Linked DNA regions of Pelodiscus sinensis. The main gene of each other region encodes a partner of the protein of the gene in region 2 in a complex. Links are inferred from orthologs where the notes say so. Each region holds a gene or a part of one and is shown on either strand. Other genes may lie near its edges.

Evidence for each region. The genes of interacting proteins can lie anywhere in the genome.
Region 1: the proteins of JARID2 (region 2) and AEBP2 are in contact, whole or in part, in a cryo-EM structure (PDB 8VNZ), measured with the Homo sapiens proteins. The link is inferred for Pelodiscus sinensis from reciprocal best matches to the Homo sapiens genes JARID2 and AEBP2. Residues at the interface, in NP_004964.2 of Homo sapiens: Ser148, Lys151, Pro152, Lys153, Thr154, Glu155, Asp156, Leu158, Thr159; in NP_001107648.1 of Homo sapiens: Arg407, Ala410, Ile411, Asn414, Leu415, Glu420, Ser421.

What each region holds. Positions count from the first base shown.
Region 1 is NC_134711.1:114,664,474-114,672,184, reverse strand, and holds the start of AEBP2 (zinc finger protein AEBP2), read right to left. Parts: upstream 3,039-7,711; 5' UTR 2,849-3,038; coding exon 2,295-2,848; intron 1-2,294. UniProt on the Homo sapiens protein: Acts as an accessory subunit for the core Polycomb repressive complex 2 (PRC2), which mediates histone H3K27 (H3K27me3) trimethylation on chromatin leading to transcriptional repression of the affected target gene.
Region 2 is NC_134712.1:106,767,664-106,774,781, forward strand, and holds the start of JARID2 (protein Jumonji), read left to right. Parts: upstream 1-4,023; 5' UTR 4,024-5,044; coding exon 5,045-5,089; intron 5,090-7,118.

The DNA.
Region 1 (7,711 bases), on a different chromosome or scaffold from region 2:
TGGCTGGCTCTTATTACATTTAAACGGCAGAGCTGCAGCAGGGCCCCTTACTGACTAACCGGGTACTCGAAACAAATTGTACTGAATACACAATTAGTCAAGTACCCACTTCTTAATATCCTTAACTTGCACCAGGCTAGTTAGCTCGTATCTGTGTTCCAGTATCTACTAGGCCAGGAGATAGTCGAGATAGTCACTCAAACACATGAAGTGGTTTTTACATTAGATTAAAAAAAACACCAAATATTGCTAGACATTGTAGTAAAATTGTGTGGATTGGCAATACTGATTTTTCATATTTTAAAGCCCCAAACTCCCAGATTCTATGCAATTTAAATGAGAATCTCATTTAAAAAGTTTCTAGCATTCCACTTTGAAAAAGGAATGAAAACATGACACCAATACATACTAAAAGCATATGACGCAGAAGGTAAATGCAAAGCACCCAAAATATTGTTTCTTAAATCATCAGGATTTTCAAGTCAATTCTATGATTTGGAGGTGGCTGATTTGAACACTAGAGGTTGTCAATACTCAAATATACTGACATCAATCTCATCTGCTACTTTTCTGCAGTATTTGAACGGACATTTTAAGCTTTTCTTCAACTAAGCTTTTAACATAGTTTGGTTGTCGTCGTGCCCCACGCGCGCACACACACTATCATGTCCTGTTAGGAGTGATAAAAACACAGCACATTATAAACCTAAATAAATAACTTTTCAAATGCTACTAAGAACCTTACTGTTTTGTCATTTGCTCCTCTATATGAACAAATAAACCAGATTTCTCCACTTAAGTAAAATTAAAAACATATTTATGTAAAAATAATAATGGGCAATGATCTATACATGTGTCAAGGACACAAAGCACCACATATAATCAAAGTTACAGAATCATTAAGCCATTCTGAAACTCATTAAGCAGCTCCAGAAGAGAGTTGGACTAGTAAAGTGACTCAAGTAACTAATTTAGCATTTCTTATTCTATTTGCCTATCACTTAGTTTGTGTGGTAGCACTTGACAGTCAATGAGCTGCTAGTTTTATGTTTTTGAACTTAAATCATGCCAAAACAGTATTTTTAAATATTCAGTTCTGCACGCTAAGTTCATTGTTCATTTACAAAAAGGAATTAACTAAAGATTTAGTGTAAAAGATAAATCTATATAGGAATCGAAAAAGTTCATCCTTCTTTGGATTCAGTTACATACATATTTCAAGTCCTGAAAAAATTGTAAAGATCACTACACCAAGAAGAGTTGGTCCACCATACAAATTACCTCACCTACCTTGTCTACTAACTACATGGATTATCAATCTGTGTGGCTTTTAAATGAAGAAAACTAATATTTTACACAGCAAAGATTGGTACACGAGGAGGTTTTTCCACATACCAGATAACAATCTATGCTGATCAAGTAAACTAAAATTTCCCCCCTACAGTTAGACAGGCTGCTTCTTTATGTTCTCTCTGTAATACATGGAGAACACCTTTAGCACTTGATCTTTGAGGTTTAGATCCTGCTGTTTGCATTTTAAACACAAAATACAACTAGAGACACTTGAAAGTATTTTGAAAGAGATATTAGCATCCCAGGAAACAGTAGTTAAACTCTACTATTTAAAGGCTGGGCTTCTTGCACACCAAACTAGGAAGGAACCAAATCGAGTGGCTATCAAAATAAGTTAATGATTTCTATACGGCAAGAAATCTCACCTGACCAGAGATTTTTCCCGAAAAACTTTCAGGAAGAAACAAAGATTTTAAGACCAAATAGATATCTGAAAGTATAGAAGTTGTGGACTTTTCTGCTCACTATCATTAAACTTGGCAAGACTAGAATCATTCAGGAGAGAGCACTAACCATGCAAAAAATCAGCATGCAAATAAAAGTATCGAGACCTCTCTTCCGTCTGCTGGGTCAGTTCAGGAGGAATACACAACCCACCTGGCGGCTCCTAACCCTTACTCTCGGTTCTAGGAAATCCCCACCCATCCCTTCCTGTACTGGCTGCCTACTGCCCCAGACTGGGAGATGGGGCAGGAGTGTGGGTGACGGTGGCTTGGTGTTGCTCCATGTCTCTCTGGGCTAAGAGAGGTGAATTTCGAGGAGCTCTTGTGTGCCGGAGGCCCAGGAGATGGCGTCTCAGGGCCCCTATCCCGTGCGGGATTTCAAGGGTGAATCCTGGCTGAGGGAAGAGCTGGAGGGCCGAGGATCCCAAGCCCCGGCCGCGGAGCAACCGCAGGGCTGTGGCTACCCCCAGCCTGCCGAGGCGCGGGGCCCGCACTGACCTGTCCTCCGAGTCCATCCGGCTCAGGGGTTCCCCGTCCGAGGACATCTCCAGGCTCCCGCGCCGGCCCCCCGAAGTGGCGCTACAGCTGCTGCTGCCGCTGCCGCCCCCTCCGCCCGTGCCGTAGCCTTCGTCCCCGCCGCTGGACACGCTGCTGCTGCTGCTACCGCCGCCGCGGCCCAGCCCGTCCTCCTGGCTGCCCCGCGGGCCCTTGGGCTCCTCCTTGGCGTCGGCCTCGCTGCTGCCGCCGGGGCTGAGCGAGCGGGTCTCGTCGCTGCAGCAGCCGCTGCTGGTGCTGCTGCTCCCCACCAGGCTGCTCGCCTCCTCCTCGCCGCCTTCCTCCTCCTCCTCCTCCTCGTCCTCCCCGTCCCCGGCCTGGCTGGCGCTCTCCGGGCTGGGCTCCGACATGCTCTCGGCCTCGCCGGGCAGCAGCAGCAGCGCCTCGGACTCCGCCGCCGCCGCCGCCCCGGCCGCCTCCTCCTCCTCCTCGCCCGCCGCCGCCTCGCCGGGCAGCAGCCCCTCCGGCTCCGCCATGTCGCTGAGAGCGGCCGCCATGGCGCCGCCGAGCCGCTGCCGCCGCCGCCGCCTGGGTCGCTCGCTCGCTCCGCCGCCGCCTCTCGCCCGCACAATCGCGCAGCAGAAGCGAGCGAGCCGCAGAGGGGAGGGGCCGCCGCACGCGCTACGGAGCCCGCCCGGGGACAAAAAACCGGAGCTGGGAGGGTGAAGCGCCCGCGGCGTCGGTGCGGGGGAGGAATTGAGGACTCGAAGCTGCTTAGGAGCGGGCAGAACCAAACGGGGAGGGGGGGGAAGAGGAGCGAGTGGGCAGAACCAAATGTGGTGGGGGGCGCTGAGGCGGGCAGGGAAGGGAGGGGGAGTGCTGAGTGGACACGAGGCTGGGCGGGAGTCAGGGCTCCAGGCTTCTCTCTGTTGGCTCTTCCAGAGAACGGGCCCTCCCTGCCTTCACCCCTTCCAGGCGCTGTGGGTCAGGCTAGGGGTGCCCCCCCCCACACTTCAATAAAGCTATGTTTGCACTGGTGGGTTCTTGCACAAGAACCGGCAGAGCATCCACACGGCCCGCCCGCTCTTGTGCAAGGCTTACCCTGCGGCATTGGGCTTCTCGCAAGAGCTACACTCTTTTCTAACAAGTGTAAGCCCTCTTGCGCAAGAGGGCAGTGTGGACGCGGACGCGCGGCAGGGTTTTCTTGCGCAAGAGAGCATCCACACTGCCATGGATGCCCTCGCACAAAAGCATGTGGCAGCGTGGACGTGTTCTTGCACCAGAACCCCCCTGTACAGACAGAGCCTATGGGTTTTCATAAGATAAGACTTTCCGTACATCATTGGGCACTTGTGCAAATCCATCCCACTCTTAACGTTGCACGCACCCTGCCCTACCATGTGCATGGGGGGATGTGCCCCTGGACGAGAGCAGTAGCACGCCCCCAAAAGAAGATGGTGCTCTTTCCACAGCACTTAAGGGAGATAGGGCCTGAGGAACCCCAAGTGGGTGTGAGCCCTAGTCTGAGTGAGAGAGCTTTCAACTAGCTAACTTGTAACAGGCCCTAAGGTACTCCACGTTCACGTGAGTCATCTCAGAGGAGATACTGGTTGACATTCCTTGCTGTTGGCAAATATTACAAATCATCTTGCGGAAACTGTGGCAGGTTTGGTCTTTAGTGAATTAAAGGAGGCCCTGTGAACTTGTGATGTACACCCTACCTTTCCCTGATTAGTAAGTGTTTTAAGGGAAACACTGACAAAAAACTTTTTATTCAAATGGAAACCCATTGCTACCTTGGACAGAAATTCAGGGAGAGATCTGAATGATTTACCCATATGAAATATTGTACAGAAAAGGTCAACCATGAGAGCTTACATTTTCCCCAAATCTAGCTGATGTAATTGCCATTGTTAAGGATGTTTTCATAGACACATGCAGTAAGTAACAATTTGGTAAGTGCTTAAATGGATGGAGTGAATGCAGCTTACAAAGCCTGTCAGCACAACGTTAAAGTCCAATGAAGGAGGTTCCCTTCATGGGGAGAAAAGCTTGTATAAGGCTCTTTAAAAATGTGATCATAGCGAGGCAGAGAAAAACTTTAGCATTGAAGAGGGGATGGAGTGATGTGTGAACATGGCTCCCAAGTGCACTCTCATAGATAGTTTCAAGTGCTTAATAGAGTATAAATAGTCCAAGAATTAGGGGTCTGGGAATCAATAGGTTGTAATTTACATTCTCATCAAATCTGAATCTTTTGTACTTAACAGCCTATGTTAGTCTGGAAACTTTTCTACTGTAGATCAAATGTTCTGGACATCAGAGAAACATGATCTCTCTGTGTCTGATCTCCAGTAAGTAGCCAAGCTGTGAGTGTGAGGAAGAGGGAGGATGGATGTAGAGATAAGATGCTCCCATAGTTTTGAGGTATTAAATCTGGTCAAATTTAAAAGGTTTTAGTGACTGAAATGATAAGAGCATCAATTCCAGGAGGTACCAAAACTACCTGAGCCAAGTAGTTGCTATTACTATCTTGTGTTATCTTTCTGAGCATGCTAGGACTCAGAGGGATTTGAGGGTAAGCATACATCATCCATAGGAAGCATTGAGTGAGGAATGCATCAGACAGGAATCCTGGGCTTAGACCTCCTTTGGAATAGAAATAGATACATTTCATCTTCTTGGGCTGTTGGAAATAGGTCTACAAAAGGATGACCCAGCACTTGGAAGATTTGATGGATAACAGAATCCTCGATCATCCACTCACAGCTTGACAAAAAATATCTTCTAGAGCATTCTCTACATCAAAGGGATCCTCCCTGCCCATTTATATAACATGTTTCCAGTTATAACTTGAATGGTCAGTCCATGGACAATTGGTAGGAATGCAAAAGTCTCTGTGAACCACTTTGGGCCCTGCAATATTCATATGTAGTCAGGTATCCTCATGGGTCTGGAGAACTGGAGCCTGATAATGGTCCAGATATGCTCCCTATCTCAGCAGGGACATGTCTATCACTAAGGGGGCAGAAGTGGATAAAAAGGGGGGAAAGATCTTTCACACTCCTAATGATAGACATTGTCATTGAATCAGAGGCTGAATTCAGAGGCATCCATTGCTGCGTGGAGGGTCATCCTGGCTACCAGCTGTTCATCAGCAATCAAAGATTTAAACTCCAGTCTGTTCTCCAGGGAGATGTCAAATCTGAAAATTTAATGTAATTTTAAAAATCAGCACCAGTAACACCTGATAATTAGCAATCCAGAAATACTGGCCAGTAGATGAGTAACTCTTACATCTGAATAAATCTCTGGAAGTTATCTTTCTGTTGCAGTGGGCTTGTTTCACTAACCACCATAACCATTACTAAGTAAGGTAGAGGTGAGTGCAGATACTCAGATCTGACAAATGATACCCAGTACCTCTTAGCTGACTTTTTTAGAAGTCAGAGGTACTGATACAGTTGTTTACCAGATGTGCTTTACTGGCCTTTTGTAATAAGGAGTGACAAACAACCCGGTATGACAGCAAAAAGAATGTCCAAGACCTTGTGTTGTCTCCACCAGTGTTGCAAGAGAATCAGCTACATGTTTGAGCAGATGCTCTTGTAGATGTGTGGAAGCTCTTGTAGATGTGTGGATGAGAAAGTATAGATCGAACCATTGCCTCATCAAGGGATGATGTTAATACAGTGTCTGGCTTTGACTCATTTCCTGTCTGGGGCTGGGAGGACTGCTTCTGTACCTAGAGGAGGAGGTTGATGGTGCAGAAACATAGTATCTTGTTTGTGAAGATCCCAGAGGTTCAAGAAAGGCCATGATTAAATGTTACATGGAACAGCACCTGACACCCAGGGAAAAGAGTATCAGGACTCAGGGCAGATGTCTACTTTTATATCCCTGTATAATCTAGGCGTTTATGAAACTAGGCAATTTCAGACTCATAAGAATAAAGCGAGGGGCCCATTACTGAATATAGAGGGGATCCCTGCTTTGTTGGGAATCTGATGAAGAAAGAGAGCATTCTCTGTCTAAGAGGTAGGGCCTGCTAATTAACAGATTTGTTTGAAAATCTTTGGAAAATTTAAACTATCCATGTATATTTGTGGAAGATACAATGTATTATTTATACAAAACAGAGACAGAGATCCCTGCTGTAAGCGAGAAATGGAATCTGTCCTTAATTATGGAGCTGCTAGCAACACCTCTGTTAGTTCTTCTCGCAGAATTGCCAAGAAAGAGTTATACAACAAAAATGTGAGTAGGCCATCCAGCAGATGGGGCAATTTTGTGTGTGTACATTAGCCAGTAAATCACTATAGTTTCAGAGATTATACTTCAAACTAACTGCCTATGGGAAGTCGTACTCTGCATTTGCTGGATTTAAAGCATTTGTTTTTCAAAGACAAAAAGAAAAGAAGACTTTTCATGCTGCAAAACCAGCATGAAAACATTAAAGTCCAGCTGAACTGTACAATTGTAGAATCACTCAAAAAACCCCTCAGAGTACTTACCGTGTGCCTCATAGTAGTCCAGATTGTGACCTTTTTTGTTTGAAAAGACCTGCTAAATTTTTCAAAACTTTGTGTATGTGTACATTTTGTAAAACCAAAATACTGATGAAAGTACAAAAATCCATTTAAGTGTGTATTTGTTAAAAATTCTCTCTACTTTATAGCCGTTCTGGTGAAAGCCCTTTCCCTCTATAGCCCTCGTAATTTAGGATAGGCTTCTTGCCTCCCACTTCTAAATTATCATTAGAAAATTTCCCTTTCTCTTGACACACTTTCTGTGGCCTACATTTTGTAGAGCCTGAGAAACTTACAATATTTTATTCATTTTCAGAACCCACTTATGAGATAGAAAGTAGGGATGTTAAATATAATTAGCTAATTGAATAGTCAATGGTATTTCCATCGACTGTTCGATTAGTTGATAAGGACTAGCATGACATTCTGCCTTTGAAATGTACAAGAGACACTGCAGGAACTCTTGTACATTTCAGCTGGGCCTCTTGTACTTTTCAAAGTGGACTCCTCCCTGATCCTGAACTCCATGTGGCATTTCAATCTCTGGGGCTCTTGCACATTTCAAAGCGGAAGCGCTGCATGGAGCCCAGGATCAGCGGGGAGTCTGCTTTGAAACCCTCTCTCCCTCTCCCCCCCTCCCGCTGCCTCTTTGTGATAGAAGCAGCAGCTGAGGAAAGCAATTAGTCAACTAGTGTGTCAACTATCCGATAACCTTTTGCTTTTCAGATAGTTGATTAGTCGCTTACATCCCTAGTCCATTGTACAGATGGGGAACTGAGGCACAGAAGCACAAAGATACATGCCCAAGGGAGTATGTGGCAAAATGGGATCCTGAATCCAAGTCTCCCAAGTATTCACCTAGGGCTCTAACCCCTGAACAATTCTTCATTT
Region 2 (7,118 bases):
TAAGAGTCTTCTCCTTTTGTATCTTGTCTTTCCAGAGACTAGTGCCATTTAAAAGTCATATCCTTCAGAAAGCAGATCTTATGCCTTGCCTGTGATTGACAGGTCTGGTTCTGCCACCAAGGTGGCAAGCAACAACAGAATATACTGATCTTACTGACGCAGAAACTCAACTTCACTTTCAGATTTCTGTCTGGAAGACAGAACAGCACTTTTGATAAAATGAACAGATTTGATCTAGAAATCAATGACACACAAACACGGGACTCCACAATGCCATTTTTGTCACTTTTCAAACATGTCCAAGGTGGAATAAGTTGATGATAGCTAAAACTAAGCTCACTATTAAGTTAAGGTAGCCATAGGAGCCCCAATCAAATTCAGTGGCAACCACTGATGTCAACAGCAGTTAAACCAAATACATGATATTGACTACATAATCACAGTACCAGTGTTTAATAAATCATTTATGTAAAACAATCTATCTTAAGTCAGACAACATAGTACTGAGGCAGTGAAACATAGTGGGATAAGGGCAGGATTCCAGAACAACCATGGATGTGTAACTTCTCCCACAACAGCTTGTGAGAACATAACATAGTCTTCAGCAACAACTGCTCAAATCTCTACCAACTGAGCTAAAAGAGAAACCACAATAGCACTCTCTTATCTGTTATGTGGAACAGACACTAGCTGGAAACATGACACCTTGCGCCAAAGCCAAACACTAAAATTTCAGGGGTTAGCCAAGTTAGTCTGTACAGGAAAAAACAACAACAAATGGTCTGCTAGCACTTCATAGACTAACAAAACATGTAGATGGTATTATGAGCTTTCGTGGGCACAGCCCACTTCTTCAGATGACCGGAGTTCATATGAAACTTATTATTAAATTTAAATTGAGTTCATATGAAACTCCGGTCATCTGAAGAAGTGGGCTGTGCCCACGAAAGCTCATGAAAACATGTAGATGGCATGTTAGTCTATGAAGTGCTACCAGACCATTTGTTGTTTTTTTTCCCTTGCCTAAAAAGCAATCTGAAGGTGGAAAAATGGGTTAAACCTTCTATTTTTTTTGGCTTTTTCATGTTGTACCACAGAAAACCGGATAGATTTGTTTTAAAATGTTTTGATTTTTGATAACTTAGAAATATCAGGAATGTCTAGCCCGATTTAGCTGGAGGTCTCCTTGGAGGATGAAACATTATATGGAATAGGACCTTTTACAGTCCTTCAAGAGGCAGAATACTTTATCTTTGAAAAGTGTTTTTTCTTAAGTCTTTAAGTTGAATAAAAACCTTAATATAACCAACGGAAAAGTAAACAGTGTATAGAGAAATTACTTGTACATTAGTTAGATTGCAATTCCTTGTTTCCGATAATGCAATAATTCTACTATTTTTCAGTTTTCAATAGAACCCTACCAGAAAAAAAAAGTAGTTGAGATCTGAATTTGTGAAGTAAAGCACAGAAAAAGAGACTTTTATTTAAAAAAATAATAATAAAGCCTAACCCGACTTGTACGCCCACTGTATACGTCATGAAGAACCAAAAAGCAGGCGTTTTAGCCCACTTCTAGCATAAGAACATTCTATTCAAGTGATGAGTAACAAGCCAGCTTATGAGTATATTTCTAATTTAGGATGAAGCGTGCTAAAATGAAGCCATCACTCCATTTGTGTATATAAATGCTATAAATAATCCTATGTGGCTTTCTATAGCTATTTGCAATGGAACTTAAAATGTATTTTTATTATGATTACAGTTTTTAACAGAGTTTATGTTGCATAAAGATAATTTTAAACTTTATGAAACTGAGAACCAGAACTTAAAAAAATTAAAAAGTGGCAGATTAGAGGAAACCCTGATATAAATAGCAACAAATATGGAAAAAGATTAAGGGAAAATTAGGATATTAAAAAGTAACCGTTTTACATTTAACATAATAAACGCAGTTTGTGAATTAATTCTACAGGATGTGAGTAGATGTTCTCTTTTTAAGGGAGGAAGGATGGTTTTGTGGGTAAAGCATATGATTAGAGATCATAAGCTCTGGGTTCTATTACTGGCTCTTCTCCAGACTTTATGTGACATTGAGTAAAATCACTTAACCTCTTTGTACCTAAATTTCCATATCTGTAAAGTGAAAATATTATTACCTCAGAGGAATGATGTAAGACTAGATTACTATTCAGGAAGTGTGCTAAGAGCCTCACTTAGGAGATGTTATAAAGTATATTATTTGGTTGCATGGAAAGGGAGAAACAGCCAATGGTCTGAATACAAAATTAGTAACTAGAAACATCAAAGTCTTTCACAGACTTATAACATTAGCATAAAGTCACTCAAATTTCTCTATTCCTGTCACTGTTTCTCATCTGAAAACAGAAATAATTCTCTGCCTCTTAAGACCTAACTAAGGTGTTATGTTTGAAAACGTAAGCTTTCTTATCACTGTTTTCTCTCCACTACTCTTTCATAAAGAAATTAATGTATTTGAGCAATCCCCAACCACACACGCATTTAAAATGTGGTTTTAATAATAAATTTCCTAGCTTGTATACACTGCTATGTCCATTTATTTACATAATTAAATCAGGTGACCATTTGATTTTTGCTTACAAACAAGGGGAACCCACCCCCTTCAAACATTCTGGAAAAAGCAAAAGGCACAATAATTTAATGAAGACTCAGGAGATTAAAACATCATATACAATGAACTACAGTAACTGCTGCATTTACAAGAGTGTGTTTGTTTTCATTCCTGGGAAATTTACCTTGATCAAACATTACAAATCTTCCCTTTTGCAACACACCTTGGCACCAGCAAAACTAGGGAGGTTTTTAAAATCTTTCAAACTATAGGATTATTATGTGTGTTATTTTACTAGTCCTGCTGTTGCTGCCTACAAGCTCTGGCTCTTCAGACTAATCCAGTGCAGCAGCAGGGATTTTGCAGCATTACAGGAGGAGGGACAGCAGGGGAGGGAGGAGTAGTGACCTCAGAGTACCTTGAGCAAGTTTTATATAAACCAGGTAAGCTGTCCTGAGGTGACACTCACTGAAAAGCTAAGAAGCAGACTCCCAATAACTAAAAGGAAAGCAAGAGGTCCCTTTAGATAATATAGGTAACTTTCATTTTTTACTGCAGTTTCCTAGCCCAATCCAGGCACACTAATCCTCATTCCACCGCAAAGGAAAACCGCCCTGCTCTCCCCATTGCGCCTGCTTCATCCCCACCCCCCACTTTTGTAGCTTGCCAAGAAAGCCCCATTTCTCCTTCCTCTAGCATATGGCTCCCCTGCCTGCTATAGCCTACCAAGGAAAGGTAGTACCTGCCTCCCCCAATAGCCTTCCTTTCCTCCCATCTCCACTAACGGTATCCCTCTCCCACTGGCTCTTAATTAAACAACCCCCCAGCATTTCCTCCTCCCTTCCAAGGTCTCCCAATTAAGGGCATTTTGGAGTTTTCCCTCCTCCCCAGTTCTCCAATGACAGGAAGAGCCCAGAAGGGCTTGAATGCAACCTTGCACCACTGCAGTCTCCCCGTAACAGATGCCATGCACCTTCTTTCCCCACAGGCTCGTGCATAGCGGGGCCCCCACTTCCTCCAGCCTCTGCTGCGCCTTCTTCCCCCCCCCCCCCGTTTCCGAGCATTGCAGTTCCCTTCGCCCTCAACAGGATCCCACCCCTGGAGCCTCCCAGTCAGAAACCCCCGCTCCCCGCAGGCATCTGCAAGCGACAGCCCCGCGCCGGCCAACATTCCACGGCTCGCGCCCCGGCTTCCGCGCTCCAGTCTCTATCGAACGTCCGCCGCCCGCGGGCAGGAGAGAGTCAGGGATGAGGAGGGGGGAAACGTTCCACACGGAGCATCCTCCCTCCCAGGCAAGGCAACCAATCAAACAGCCCCGGCGCCTTAGGAGAGGAGGGGGGGCGGGGCGGAGGCGGCTGAGAGAACGCGACGGCAGCGGCACGTTCCTGCCCGCGCGCGGCAGACTGGGAAGTGTAGTTTCTCCTCTCCCAGCCGTAGCCATTTTGTGGTGAAGGGAACTACAACTTTCCCAGCGCTCCGGGAGCGTTCCAAGGGGGCACGCGGAAAACCCGCGGCGCGCTGGCCGGCGAGGCCCGGTGCTGGTGGCCCGGCGCGTGGGAATGTGACGGGGCGAGCGGCTCGCGGGGCCGGAGGATCATTCAAGAGCTTTGCAGACAGGCCGGGAGGGGGGCAGGCGAGGGGGCGACTGAGCGTGCCGCGCTAGGGATCATCGCCCAATTCCCCGCTTCGCTCCCTCGCAGTGGCCGCGGCGGCGGCTCGCCCGAGGCCAGCTTTGAATGCGAAAAGGGGGGCCGAGGTGTTTGACGTTTGCCCTGCACGAGGCTGTGCTGGGCTGGCTGCGGCTGCTGCATGCGGCTTGGCGGGGGCTTGCGGCCAGGGCCTGGGTGAGAATTGAGGCCAAGCCCTAACTGAGAGATTAAAAAAAAGCCCAGGTCCATTTAAAGTTGCTGTCGGAGCGCTGCTCTCATTGGTTAGGGGAGAGCTGGAAGAGCAGGGACACACACAGTGCGTGCAGCCTTCACTGCTGCTAGAGGAGCTGCTGCTGCTGGAGTTGTCTCTGTTGCTTTCCCTTGCTGCAGCAGCATAAACGTGACTTCCAACATTTTTATTTATCTTCTCTTTTCCACCCCTTCCCTTTTGCAAGATGTAACTACAGCTCAGACACTAAGGACCTACAGATCGTGGAGGTGGCTTGGGAAAGAGAAAGGGGGATTTCAAGGGCGTCGTTTTTGTGTTAGGGAGAAAATTTCCATTATGAGTGTTTCTCTAAAGTGATTTTTTTTTTGTTTGCTTCGCATTCGTCTCTGGTTTTCCCCATTCCCCATATATCGGATTTATGGCAAGGAAAATCACATTGTGAGGAAAGAAAGTCGGATTACAAGATACTACTACAAACAAAAACTGGATTTTTGGGGGTATTTGAACAAAAAAATTGTTTCGGCTTTACTTCATGAAGCAAGTGTCCCCTTTTGCAATCAGAATTTGGATACCAGAATGAGTAAAGAAAGACCCAAGAGGAATATAATTCAAAAGAAATACGTAAGTGGTCATAACATATATCATTTGACTCCCAGTTTTAGGAAATGGCAGTGAATGTCAAGTTTATAGCTAATCTCGCAGCTATAAAGGTTTGGAACAAATGTTTAGTAATGCTGATTTTTATTGTGCTCAAGTGTGGGGGAGTTTTTTTTAAACCCTTTTAAATAGCAAAACCTGCTGACCAGTTTAGCTATAAAGCCAGATTTGTGTAGCGATACCTCAAGTGAATAAATGTATTGACCTCAAATGACACAATCATAATCTAGTTTTAGATGAAAGGCTGGGGCGGGGGGAGGGAGAGACACTGCTGCGATGTTACTAAACTCTATTTTCAAATGGATTTATTAATAATGCACTTTACATGCAAAATAATATTTTATAGATGTATATTTATAGTTCTGTTTAGTGAGGACACTATGGTTGTTGAAAGCCCTTTAAGTTGAAATCGAATGTCTGGTTATGGCGAGCTTGTTTCTTGCACTACCACATCAAATGTAATATGTGATCGTTTGCTTATCTGACTTGCAATAGAAACCAAACCAGTTGGGGGTCATCTTACAGGGAATGTGTTTCTTCTTAGGATTGACTCTAATAATGGGGAAATGGCTTGGTTTAGTTTAAAAATGCATGATGGTGTCTCGAAATGCTGGAAGAATATGGTATAGTTCAGGCTGTACACCTACCTCTGTTCTTATTCAACTGCTTGTAACCAGATCCTTGTAATAGTCTAATCCTTTAAATATATACATTTGCAAGGATAGTTGGGTTTTGGTCCTGCTTCAGCTATGTTTTGATTGGCATAGGGGCGTCTTTAAGTTTGGAAAAACTGAGGGGATTCGTCAGATATGCTGCAGAACTAATTATTTTTATCTGCGCGTTTAAAAATAAAATATATTTCACTTTGTTCAGAAAATGCTTCAAGATATATTAGATGCAACACTCAAAAGTTGTATTATATATGTATTATATCTGGCTTTTTTCCGTGGGGGGCATATAGATGTATTTCCTTAGGGTGATGACCTTCGGGACCCTTTGCCTTGTTTTTAAATAGATTTAATAAAAGATAAAATAAGGCTTAAGAATCCTGTTTCTGTTGATGCTTGTCTCTTTAAAATATAATTTAGAGAAACGAGAGGCTAGGAAAATATTAAAAACGTAAAGGGTATTCTGCACCGAATTTACGAATTAAAAATACATCCGCATTGCAGAGGAATTGGGAGTCTGAAGCGGACTAGTTTAAAGTATTGTATCGAAACAGGAACATTGTCTAGAAAGTCTAACGAAACATGTAAGACGTGCACGTTTACCAGGCAGTGAAACAAAGCGGAATGGGGGACGCATTTGCTGTGTTTAATTAATAAAGTAACCTATTATTTTTAAAGCGACTCCACGTCTGGACGAGTGAACAATGGTACCTTCCTCTGGTTTTGCCTATAGTGCTCGTTAAAGAATTAATAAAACTACTGTCACCCCTCCCCCCTTTAACCCGAGAGGAAAGGTATGAGAGACACATGTGAGCGTGGTAGGGAGACAATGTATCCTGTGTTCACAAGTGTAACTCAGTGGAATGGAGGGAAATCGCTTTTTTGGGGGGGGGGGGGGGGAGGAGTGCAGCTTACTGTGTTCCTCAGTGTGTGTGTGGGGGGGGTGAACGTGGGTTGCTGCACTATTGCAGTAACTGGCACAGACGCAAGCATGGCTGCTGCTGCTGCTGCTGCTGCTGTGGGCCGGCCTGGTCGTTTTCCCATGCATCCTTTAGAACTGCGGCAACAGGTTAAGCGGAATGTCAGAACAAGCCCCCGGGTTCCCGGCCACTCAGCCCAGTCGGGGCCAGGTTCTTGTTGTTCTTGTGACGTCACAAAGGGAAGGGCCTGGGCTCAGTGGAATCTTCGTCTCATCGATGTTGTGATTTCCCCTCCCCCTCCTGTGACGTCAAAAGTGAGGCGGGCCGTTTGGCTGGGGGAAAGGGGGAGTCACCAGGGCACTAGCTGCTGCTACTGGGGAGGAGACAGTTCTGGCACCTAGCACT